Linked DNA regions of Coturnix japonica. The protein of the gene in region 2 interacts with the protein of the main gene of each other region in a biochemical or structural test. Links are inferred from orthologs where the notes say so. Each region holds a gene or a part of one and is shown on either strand. Other genes may lie near its edges.

Region 1 (4,552 bases), on a different chromosome or scaffold from region 2:
CAGTTTCTACCTGCCAGCTCTTCCCCCTACCCAGTATCTCTAGCACTAACCAGCAGCACACCGCCTCTTCTCAGCTCTCTGTGAACAACGCTTGCTCTCCCCTCCTTTGTCTTAGCACATTCCTGTGCTCCTTCATGAGGCGACAGCCAAGTGTGAACCTGCTGTAGCCATTCACGGGGATGAGATTTATTATCTGGAGGCGCACCAATAACACAGCACTACAAAAAATAAAGCAGCGGTCTCTTTCATCAAAATCTAATGAACGCGCAATTTCATCTTTATTAAGAATTCATTAGGTTCTCAGCAAGCCCCGTGTAATGGAGCTTGACCAGGTGAAATGCTAATGCCTGCATTATATTTAAATTCATTTTCAGAAGCATTGGTTTCCCCTGCGGTGCCGGCTCCCCCCGGCTGCTGCCGCGTCCCCACCCAGCCCCACTGCTCGCCCGGAGCTCCCAGCATGGCAGCCAGCTCCGCATCCTCAGGCACAAGGCTGCAGGCTGCCGTGTGCCACATTAGGGCTGCTCCCTTCAACATATAGACCTACAACAGGGTGTTTTTCAGCCCTCACTCTACTAATATAGCCCAGCCAGCCGGCTTTTATCTGGAACCAGTTCGTTTAAACAACAAGAGCTCTGGTCCCCGCGGCACAGGAGCCCGTGCGTGGTTGTGTAAGGCACCATGGCCACAGCTGCCCCTTCACCCACAGCGCTGTCGCTGTTCCAGTGGCAGCCACAGCCTCTCCTTCCACCAAAGCATCGCCCGCCATTCCAGCACGCTCCTGCAGAAGCCATTCCTAGAGATTAAATAATTTAGTGGTGTTCATCTGCAGCAGTTCCTCTCCCGATCCACCTTTCACATACAAACAAGTGCAAACCAAACCGATCCTCCCGGCCCCACATCCCCAAATGCCCTTTGACGGGGCCTCGGAGCCTTTGCACACCGATAGCAGCGGGAGAGGCGGATGGAACGGCACCGAGGGCGAGGCTGCTCGCTCCCACAGCCCTGCAGCTCTATGGGAAGAACGCTGCCTCGGGCGGGGACGGTGGTTCGGTCCTCTGGGACCCCCCCGCTACAGGAGATGTGCTGTTCCCCGTACAATCACGGCACCGCGCCGGGCTGCGGGCCCGCGGCGAGCCCACGCCCGAGGGTTGGCGAGCGGCGCCCGAGCCCCTTCGGCTATTTCCGAGCCTGCTCGGCTCCCCCCCGACCGCCCCCGAGCGCTCTCCGAAGGCAGCCGAGCGCCGAGGGAGGAGACGAGCGCTGCGCTCCCCGCGGTTCGAGTCCCCGCTGGGCGCTGTCCACCACGAGAACCGCCTGAAAGCCGCGCCACGCCGCGCCCGAGGGACAGCGCGGAGGGACTGCGGATGGCTACGGGCACACCGGGCACACCGGGCACACCGGGCACACCGGGCACATCGGGCACACCGCCCGCCCCACGGCCCCTCCCAGACACCGGCTCCTTCCCTATCGGGAAACAAGAACCGCTCCGTGCCTCTACCACCGTGACACCCAGCCCCAATGCACAGCTATGGCGCCTGCTCGTTCCAGTGGGAGGCTGCGGCTGGATGGGCTTTAATTAAAGGGAAGAAAAGGGAATGGAGTAATTCTGCACCTCCACACCTCCGTTGGTTCCCTGCACCTTCACTGGCTTCCCCGCACCTCCATTAGCTCCCTGTGCCTCTGCTGGCTCTCTCATGCCTCCGTTGGATCCCCATGCCTCCATTGAGCTCCCCACACCCCCGTTGACTCTCCCACTCTTCTGTACACTCTCCCACACCTCTATATGATGTCCTACATCTCTATAGGTTCTCTCACATCTCCAATGGCTCTTCCATACTTCTGTTGTCTCTCTCACACCACCACTGACTCTCCCACATCTCTATATGCTCTCCCAGATCTCTAAAGGCCCTCCCACACCTCTGTTGGCTCTCCCACATCTCTACAAGGCTCTCCCAAATCTCTGTAGGCTCTCCTACATCTCTGTTGACTCTCCTACATCTCTGTTGACTCTCCCACACCTCTGTTGGCTCTCCCACACCTCTACAGGCTCTCCCACCCCTCATTATGCTCTCCCACAGCCCCGCTGGCTCTCCCCCTGGAAGCACCGCCTGGCCACGTGCTGGGATCACTGTGTGCTGGGGGCACGGTGTGGGGCAGCCATGTCAGCCCACTCCCATTGGGGCCCGGCACAGCTGTCAGGGAGGTGCTGCATGAAGGCAGGGCTGATTTTTCAGGGCGCGTTGGGTCGCGTGTTTTTCCTTTCCCCTTTTTAATAACCCGTTTTCAACATAATTGGCGACCGGCGGCCAAGTTCGCCTCTCATTAATTAAAAGGCTCAAATCTCGGGTAAAAGGGGCTTTGGGTGGCAGCGAGCCTCGCTTTAAATCCGCATTACGGGCGGATTTCGTGCTTTTTTCCCCCTCCCTCCTCCTCCTCCTCCCGAGCGCCGGTCCCGGCCGCAGCCGCCCACCGCCCGCCCCGCCGCCCTCATCCCGGCGTTCAGCACCACGGGGCCCCGAACAGCAGCGGCCGCCGCCTCCCGCCCGGCGCTGCCCTCGGGTACAACATGGCGCCCGCGGCCCTCCGCGCCGCCCCGCGCCCCGCGGCACTCACTTCATCTGCTTCACGATGGTGCTCTTCCCCGACTCTCCGGCCCCTGCGGGACAGAGAGAGACAAGCGGTGAGCGCGGGGCGCGGCGGCGCGGGGCGCGGAGCGGAGCGGGGCTCACCGAGCAGCAGCAGCTTCACGTCTTTGGCCGCGCTGATGCCGTCCTCCTTCAGGTTCTTCTCGATGGCCTTGCTGCGCTCCAGGGCGGCCCGCTCCTCGGCGCTCAGGGTACATCCCATGGCGAGAACGGATTGAATGGAATTAAAAAGAAAAAAAAAGAAAAGAAAAAGAAAAAAAAAAAGGGAGGGGATAAAAAAAAAAGCGCAGCCCCCGCCGCCGCCGGGCGCACCGAGCTGCGGGCAGCGCAACGCCGACAGCCGCGGGGATTAACAAAGGCCTGCGGGCTCCGCAGCGGCGGGGCCGGCGGCTCCGTGCCCGAGCGCTCAGCGCATCCACGGGCTGCGGGCAGCGCGGGCGGCCGCGGGCGGGGCGGGGCGGAGCTGAAGGAGGAGGAGGAGCGAAGGGGGAGGAGGAACGTGACGAACGGGGCGGGGCCGCTCCGGGCTGCGCGCCTGGCGGGGCGCGGGGATGCGGCGGCGGTGCGGGATGTGCGGGATGTGCCGGGGGAGGGGGACGCGCTCCGCAGGCCTCGCCCGCTGCCGTGACGCGCGAGTACCGCGCATGCTCCCAGCACAGCGCATGAGGGAACGGGCTGGGTCAGATGGAGAGGAGCTCGGCATGGAGCTCGGCATGGAGCTCGGCATGGAGCTCGGCATGGAGCTCATGGCTCTGCGACCCCTGACAGCAGGTTGGGGGGGGGCTCGGCCTCTGCTCCAGATAACAGCGGCGGGGTGAGAGGTAGTGACCTCGAGCTGCACCGCGGATGGTCAGGTTGGGGACTGGGAACTATTCCTTCTTTAAGAGTGAGGCGGTGGCACAGCTGCGCAGGGAAGGGGGGAGTCACCATCCATGGAGCTGTCAGAGCCGTGCCATGTGGTCCTGGTGGGGTGAGCTGGGGTTGGACCCAGGGAAGGGAGAGCTCTGATTGATTCTATGAAACCAAGGCCTGTATTCTGGGAGCAGGCTGCCCTCTGCCACGAGCAGCCAGGCCGAGGAGCTCACTGAAGGAACAGAGCTGCTGCCACAGCCCTCTCCACCTCCCTGCAAACAGAACCAGAAGGATGCTGTGGGGCCGCTGCCCGCTGTGACTATCCATAATGAAACACCCGGCCCAGGTGGGGCTGGGCACAGGCTGACATTATATGACCTCCTTCCCATAAAGCACCGTTTCCATTTTCCTTCTACACCTCTGAAACAAAGGGGAGAAGCGTGGCATGTGGTTAACAGTGTATAGCAGAGATGTGAGGCAGAGCAGACAAAGGGAAGTAAAAGGGAGCTCATAAATAATGTTAGCGTACTCAAGGGCCAGCGGTATTTACCGAACATTTGTGAGCTAATAGGTACTGAATATCTGAATTTGGGGTAATTTATTTCTGGGAGCCCAGGGGAAAAGGGTATACCTGCATGGGAAAGCAAACCTACTGCCTGTATTCAGCAGGGAGCGGGTGGGGGTGGGGGTGGCTGCGGAGCAATTCCTGCTCTTTCATACTTGAGCAGATCTCCTGTGTAAAATCAATAGGATCAGAATTTCAATCAGTAGGTTTCATTTCAATGGTACCAGCCAGAGGGCATTATGAAAAGTGCAGAATAGGAAAACCACAATCCAGAAATCCAGAGGCGGTGTCCTCTTGAGATGGCTGCATCTACTGCCCATCTCCCCAGCAGCTTGCCAGCCTTGGAGTCCTGTTGGGATCCTCTCCAAGGATTTTTCTAAGAGAATTGGTCTTTTGTATAAGCCTCTGGATACTTGTTAACAGGCAAATTTGTATGAGCGCTGCTCTGAAAGCAGAGCCTCCTCTCCTATGATGTTGCCCCACAATG
Region 2 (4,577 bases):
TTGCTCGATTAATTAAGAATTTTCTCCTTGACCATATTTTGCTCTTTGACTTTGGAAACAAGAGACAACAGAGAGCTTTGGCACCAGCTCTACAGTGCTCTGTCACTCCCTGCAGACCCACCCCAATGCTGTTGGCTCACCAGCGCTCAGGTGAAGTGTGACAGTGCCCTGTGCTAGGGTTACGTTTTAGTCCAAAGAGTGTGGGAACTGCACAGCTCAGGTCTGGCAGCAGTCACATTAGAACTAAAGCATTTTAAGGTTTATTGGAGCACTTAATGCTCCACTTAATGAACATCCAGGGCATGTAATGAACTGAAAGGATACAGTGTGCCAAGGCAAGTAAGCTAGTCCAGGAGTTGGGTCTTCTGTGCTGCATGCTGGAGGCTGTAGAGACAGTGGAGGGTAAAGATTACCCTGCACCTTTTCTAGGCTGTGGACAAAGTGTTTCAAGTGTCCTGAGGGAAAGGGAGCCCAGCAGTGGGCAATGTGGGCAGACAGCCTGCTGCTGAACTGAAGCTGCTTTGTTTTACAGGAGCAGCCTGTGCGCATTATGGTGTATGACACCCTCTTGCAATGATGGTACAGATTGTGCTGAGGAGCAACTCAATAAGTATCAGCCAGCTTTTGCTTTCAGAGGGGCTGCTTTCAGCCTGCTTCTGCCTTCTGTACCCTCCTGGGGGTGAGGAGAAGCAGCACAGCTGGAGTCATTCAGCTCTCCTTTGGAACTACACCAGAGCCAGGCAGTGCAGCCAAGCATCCCCGTGCTCAAGTGTGAGGTACGTCCGTCCTTTAGCACAGGGCAGCCTCAATGCTGCCGGGAAGTCTCCTCCAAGGAGGCACTTCTATGCCTGTTGTGTTGATGCATCCTCTCCCCTTGGTGCTCAGATATGCTGAGTAGCAAGGCCTGGCTTTTGCTTAGGGGCAAATGCAGATGGAGAAGTGAGGTGTTAGTGATACCCATATTTCTAAGGCAGCCATGTTCTCAATGCCTCATCTTTTTTTTTCCTACACATGTGCACGAGCTGCCTTTAAGTACAAATGTGCTGGAACTAACTCATTTTGTATTCCGGTGGTGATGTGCCCCTCAGACCTTTCCTTTCAGCCTGATCAAAGGCACATATGCACACACCTCCAGAACAAAAATACCCAGTCTCATCGGCTTGGGCAGTTCCCTGGTGAATTCACAATCCTGTTTCCTCACAGCTCCAGCTTCTGCACTTGCTAAGGCTGTGAGAACCTATGGGGTTTTGAATTTTTGTCCCTTATTTTCCCTAGGTTCCTTTAAAAAGAATGGGAGAATGAACCAAGGGGCTGGCAGAACTGATTCCCCTGACCCTTTTCATTGTGCCCCTCTGAAATCTTTCCCCAGCTTTTATCTGCACCATTCCGTGTTTTGCGACAGAGGAAAGCCTCTGGAGCTTTTTTTCATCCTTTGCAAAGAATCTACCTCTGCAGCCACCCAGCTTCATTTCTGCTAAGGTTTTCAGTCCCACTCAGCCATTTGTCTCAGCTTATACGTCACCCTCTTCCTCTTGGGTGGGCAGAAGGGGGACGGTGCAGCTGCTGTGCTGGCTGCTGACTGGGTCACCGAGCGCTGCTGGGCTGGCTGGGCTAGGCTATAAAACAGAGCCACGCCAAGCAGCTGGTTCACAGGCAGACCGAATTCTGCAGCCAGCAAAGGACCTGCGCAGCCCCTGCTGCCTCCTGCCTTGTGGTTATTTGTTTTCCTGGAATACAGACCCGACCTTGGGAGCAAGATGTGCAAGGGACTCGCTGCACTGCCAGCCACTTGCTTGAAAAGGTACTGTTTATTTCTGAGCATCTCTTGTTGGTCTTGTTATGTGGAGATACGTTGATGCGTTGCACTTTGTGTCTGAGGCAGAAGTGGCAGATTTGGCTCTGATTGCTATGTAAGATTAGATACAAATGATGATTTACAGGATTTTTACTGTTAGTCAGAGTTGCCTAAGGGATTTGTACTGAGCTGTGGGAACGCTAAACCCATCCTTCCCATCAGCAAAACAAGCAGCTCACAGCATTGCTCTGCCTTGATATTCCTGTCATCTGCTTCTGCTGCAAGCTTTGCACCTCTTTTCTGCTTTCAGCGCTCTATCTCTGGTGAGTTTCCTTTTCTCTGTTTCTTTGAGGGGGAAGCAAGGCAGATATGATTCCACAACAACCGGGGCTCATTCCCCAGAACACAGCCTGAGTGCAGAAGCCAAGCTTTGCAGGAGCAGGAGACCAGGGCTGATGTAGGGTCTGGCTACGCTCTATATGTGGCACTGGCCAGGCTACCCCTGTGCTGGCTGAGCTGCCTGTGTACCCCCAGCACCACAACCTGCCCCACAGCCCAGTGGGTATTCTTGCTCTCATCTGGGAAAAAAAAAAGCTGCCTGATCACCATGGCTTTGGAAGCAAATAATACTGGCATCTTCCTGCAGGAAGGCATTAGTAAGCATAGAACCAGACACTGGTAGCTGGGCAAGTCAGTTCAGGGAGAAGCAGCACGTTTAGTGATAGTTTTCTATCACAGTATTTTAAGTGGAAACAATTAGCAGTAATACAGCAGCTTCTCCCCCTTTACCAGCCCTCCCTGCAGGCTGAGGAGCTCAGCAAGATGGTGCTGCTGAGAGTGACAAATGAACACTGCTGTATTTTGTCTAGCAAATGAAACAAGGAGTGAAAAGTCAGCACTGGAGCCACTGGATGTGACCTGCTTCGGTCTAACTGAACAGTGCTGAACAAGCTTACTGAAGGCAAGGTGGCTGCAGAGGGAGGTGTAGTGCATTATCCTCATGTCATTCTTGAATTATTTCTTTCAGTGCCAAAGACATGAAGCATCGTCTGGGTATCTTGCTGCAGAAGTCAGACTCCTGTGACTATGGCTCTTCCCAGGGCAAGAAGGAGAAAGTATCTCCAAGCCAGAGGTAAGAGCTGTGCTGCCATGCAGTTGAGCAAAGGTTGGCTGCAATGTGCTGTTTACTCCTGCAGTGAGATGGAGTCATTAGCATTTCTGCTGCCGCTGCTTCTTAGCACCTCCTGAGCTCCCATGTGTTTGAATCCAGAACTGAGTGCACTCTCAGTAAGTCTGCAGATGACACCAAGCTGGGAGGAAGTATCAGTTATACAATGGTATAGAGTGGGGCAGAGTGGCTGGCAAGCTGTGTGGAAGAAAAGGATCAGGAGTGTTTGTCAATGCTCAGCTGAACATGAGCCAGTAGTAAGCCCAGGTGCCCAAGAAGGCCAACAGCATCCTGTCATGTATCAAAAATGGTGTAGCCAGCAGGAGCAGGAGGTGATCATCCCTCTCTACTCAGCTCTGATGAGGTCACACCACAAGTGCTGTGTTCAGTGTTGGGCCCCTCACTACAAGAAAGACATTGATGCCCTGGAGCGTGTCCAGAGAAGGGCAACAAAGCTATGAAGGATCTGGAACACAAATCTGATGAGAAGAGGCTGAGGGAGCTGGGAGTGTTTAGTCTGGAGGGGGCTCAGAGGTGACCTTATTGCTTTCTACACCTATCTGAATGGAGGCACAGGCTGCCTGGGGAAGTGGAGTCACTGTCCCTGGAGGTGCTCAAGAACCACATAGATGTGGCACTGAGGGACACGGTGTGAGTGGGCTGATGGTTGGACTAGATTTTCTTAGCGTTCTTTTTCAACCTTAATGATTCTATGATTCTCCCTTTTTCTCCTGATAGGGTTAGCCAAGAGGAAGTCAAAAAGTGGGCAGAGTCACTGGAAAATTTGATCCATCATGACAGTAAGTAAAGAGTTTCCTTCTGCGGGAGATGCTGAGGGTTCTGCCAGCAGCCAGCATGCCTAGAGGTCCCAAGAGGCATGGGGTGTTATCTTGTGTCTTTTAACAGCACGAGGTAGCTCCTTTGACCACATGGGCCTCTGGGAGGGTGCTGTATGTCAGATCCAAGGGGTAGCGAATGTGGCTGTATCAAGAGTAGGGCTTTGGCTGATTGCTAGGCTGTTCCTTTTGTGAGGGCAACTGTTCCACTCCTGTGCCAGCTGATTTCAGGAGCAGCAAGACTGCAGCACGCAGTTAACACTGGGTTAAATAAGGCAGAAAGCAGAGAAGCTATTTCCTGCTGAGTCCTTGGGAGACTTTGTCTTCCTGTCAGTTCCAGACCACTGATGCCCTTGAGGTTTCATTCACGCCATTCCCATGGACTGAGACACTGCAGCGTATGCTAGCTGGCTCCTCGGAGCCTTCTGGGAGCATGCAAGTTGCTTGTGTTCTGGCTGAGCCACTGAGGGTCACGATATGGGGGTAGGCAGCTGAGGTCCCACATGTGACATCCCAGTGTGACCTGCCTGAATTCCAGCCTCCTTTGGCCTGCACGAGCTGCTGCTGTGGAGGCTGGAGCTGTTGCCAGCAGAGAGGAATCATTCAGTCAAGGGTAATCCAGAACTGCTGTTTGCTGAGGCAGTGGTGTTCATCGGTGTTGACTGAACCCAGAAATTAATGCTCTTATTTGCTCTGATTTTCCTCTATAAACCCTATATATTTTCCTCTATAAACCCTATATATTTTTCTCTATAATCTGTAGGAGGACTGGCTGCTT

What was found.
Region 1: the proteins of RGS4 (region 2) and GNAO1 form a complex in vitro, tested with the Homo sapiens proteins (2 studies listed by BioGRID). The link is inferred for Coturnix japonica from reciprocal best matches to the Homo sapiens genes RGS4 and GNAO1.

Annotation. Positions count from the first base shown.
Region 1 is NC_029526.1:479,962-484,513, forward strand, and holds the start of GNAO1 (guanine nucleotide-binding protein G(o) subunit alpha), read right to left. Parts: upstream 3,110-4,552; 5' UTR 2,851-3,109; coding exon 2,733-2,850; intron 2,660-2,732; coding exon 2,617-2,659; intron 1-2,616. UniProt on the Homo sapiens protein: Guanine nucleotide-binding proteins (G proteins) function as transducers downstream of G protein-coupled receptors (GPCRs) in numerous signaling cascades.
Region 2 is NC_029523.1:3,576,318-3,580,894, forward strand, and holds the start of RGS4 (regulator of G-protein signaling 4), read left to right. Parts: upstream 1-1,550; 5' UTR 1,551-1,757; coding exon 1,758-1,801; intron 1,802-2,095; exon of another isoform or gene 2,096-2,118; intron 2,119-2,822; coding exon 2,823-2,927; intron 2,928-3,701; coding exon 3,702-3,763; intron 3,764-4,562; coding exon 4,563-4,577. UniProt on the Homo sapiens protein: Inhibits signal transduction by increasing the GTPase activity of G protein alpha subunits thereby driving them into their inactive GDP-bound form. Activity on G(z)-alpha is inhibited by phosphorylation of the G-protein.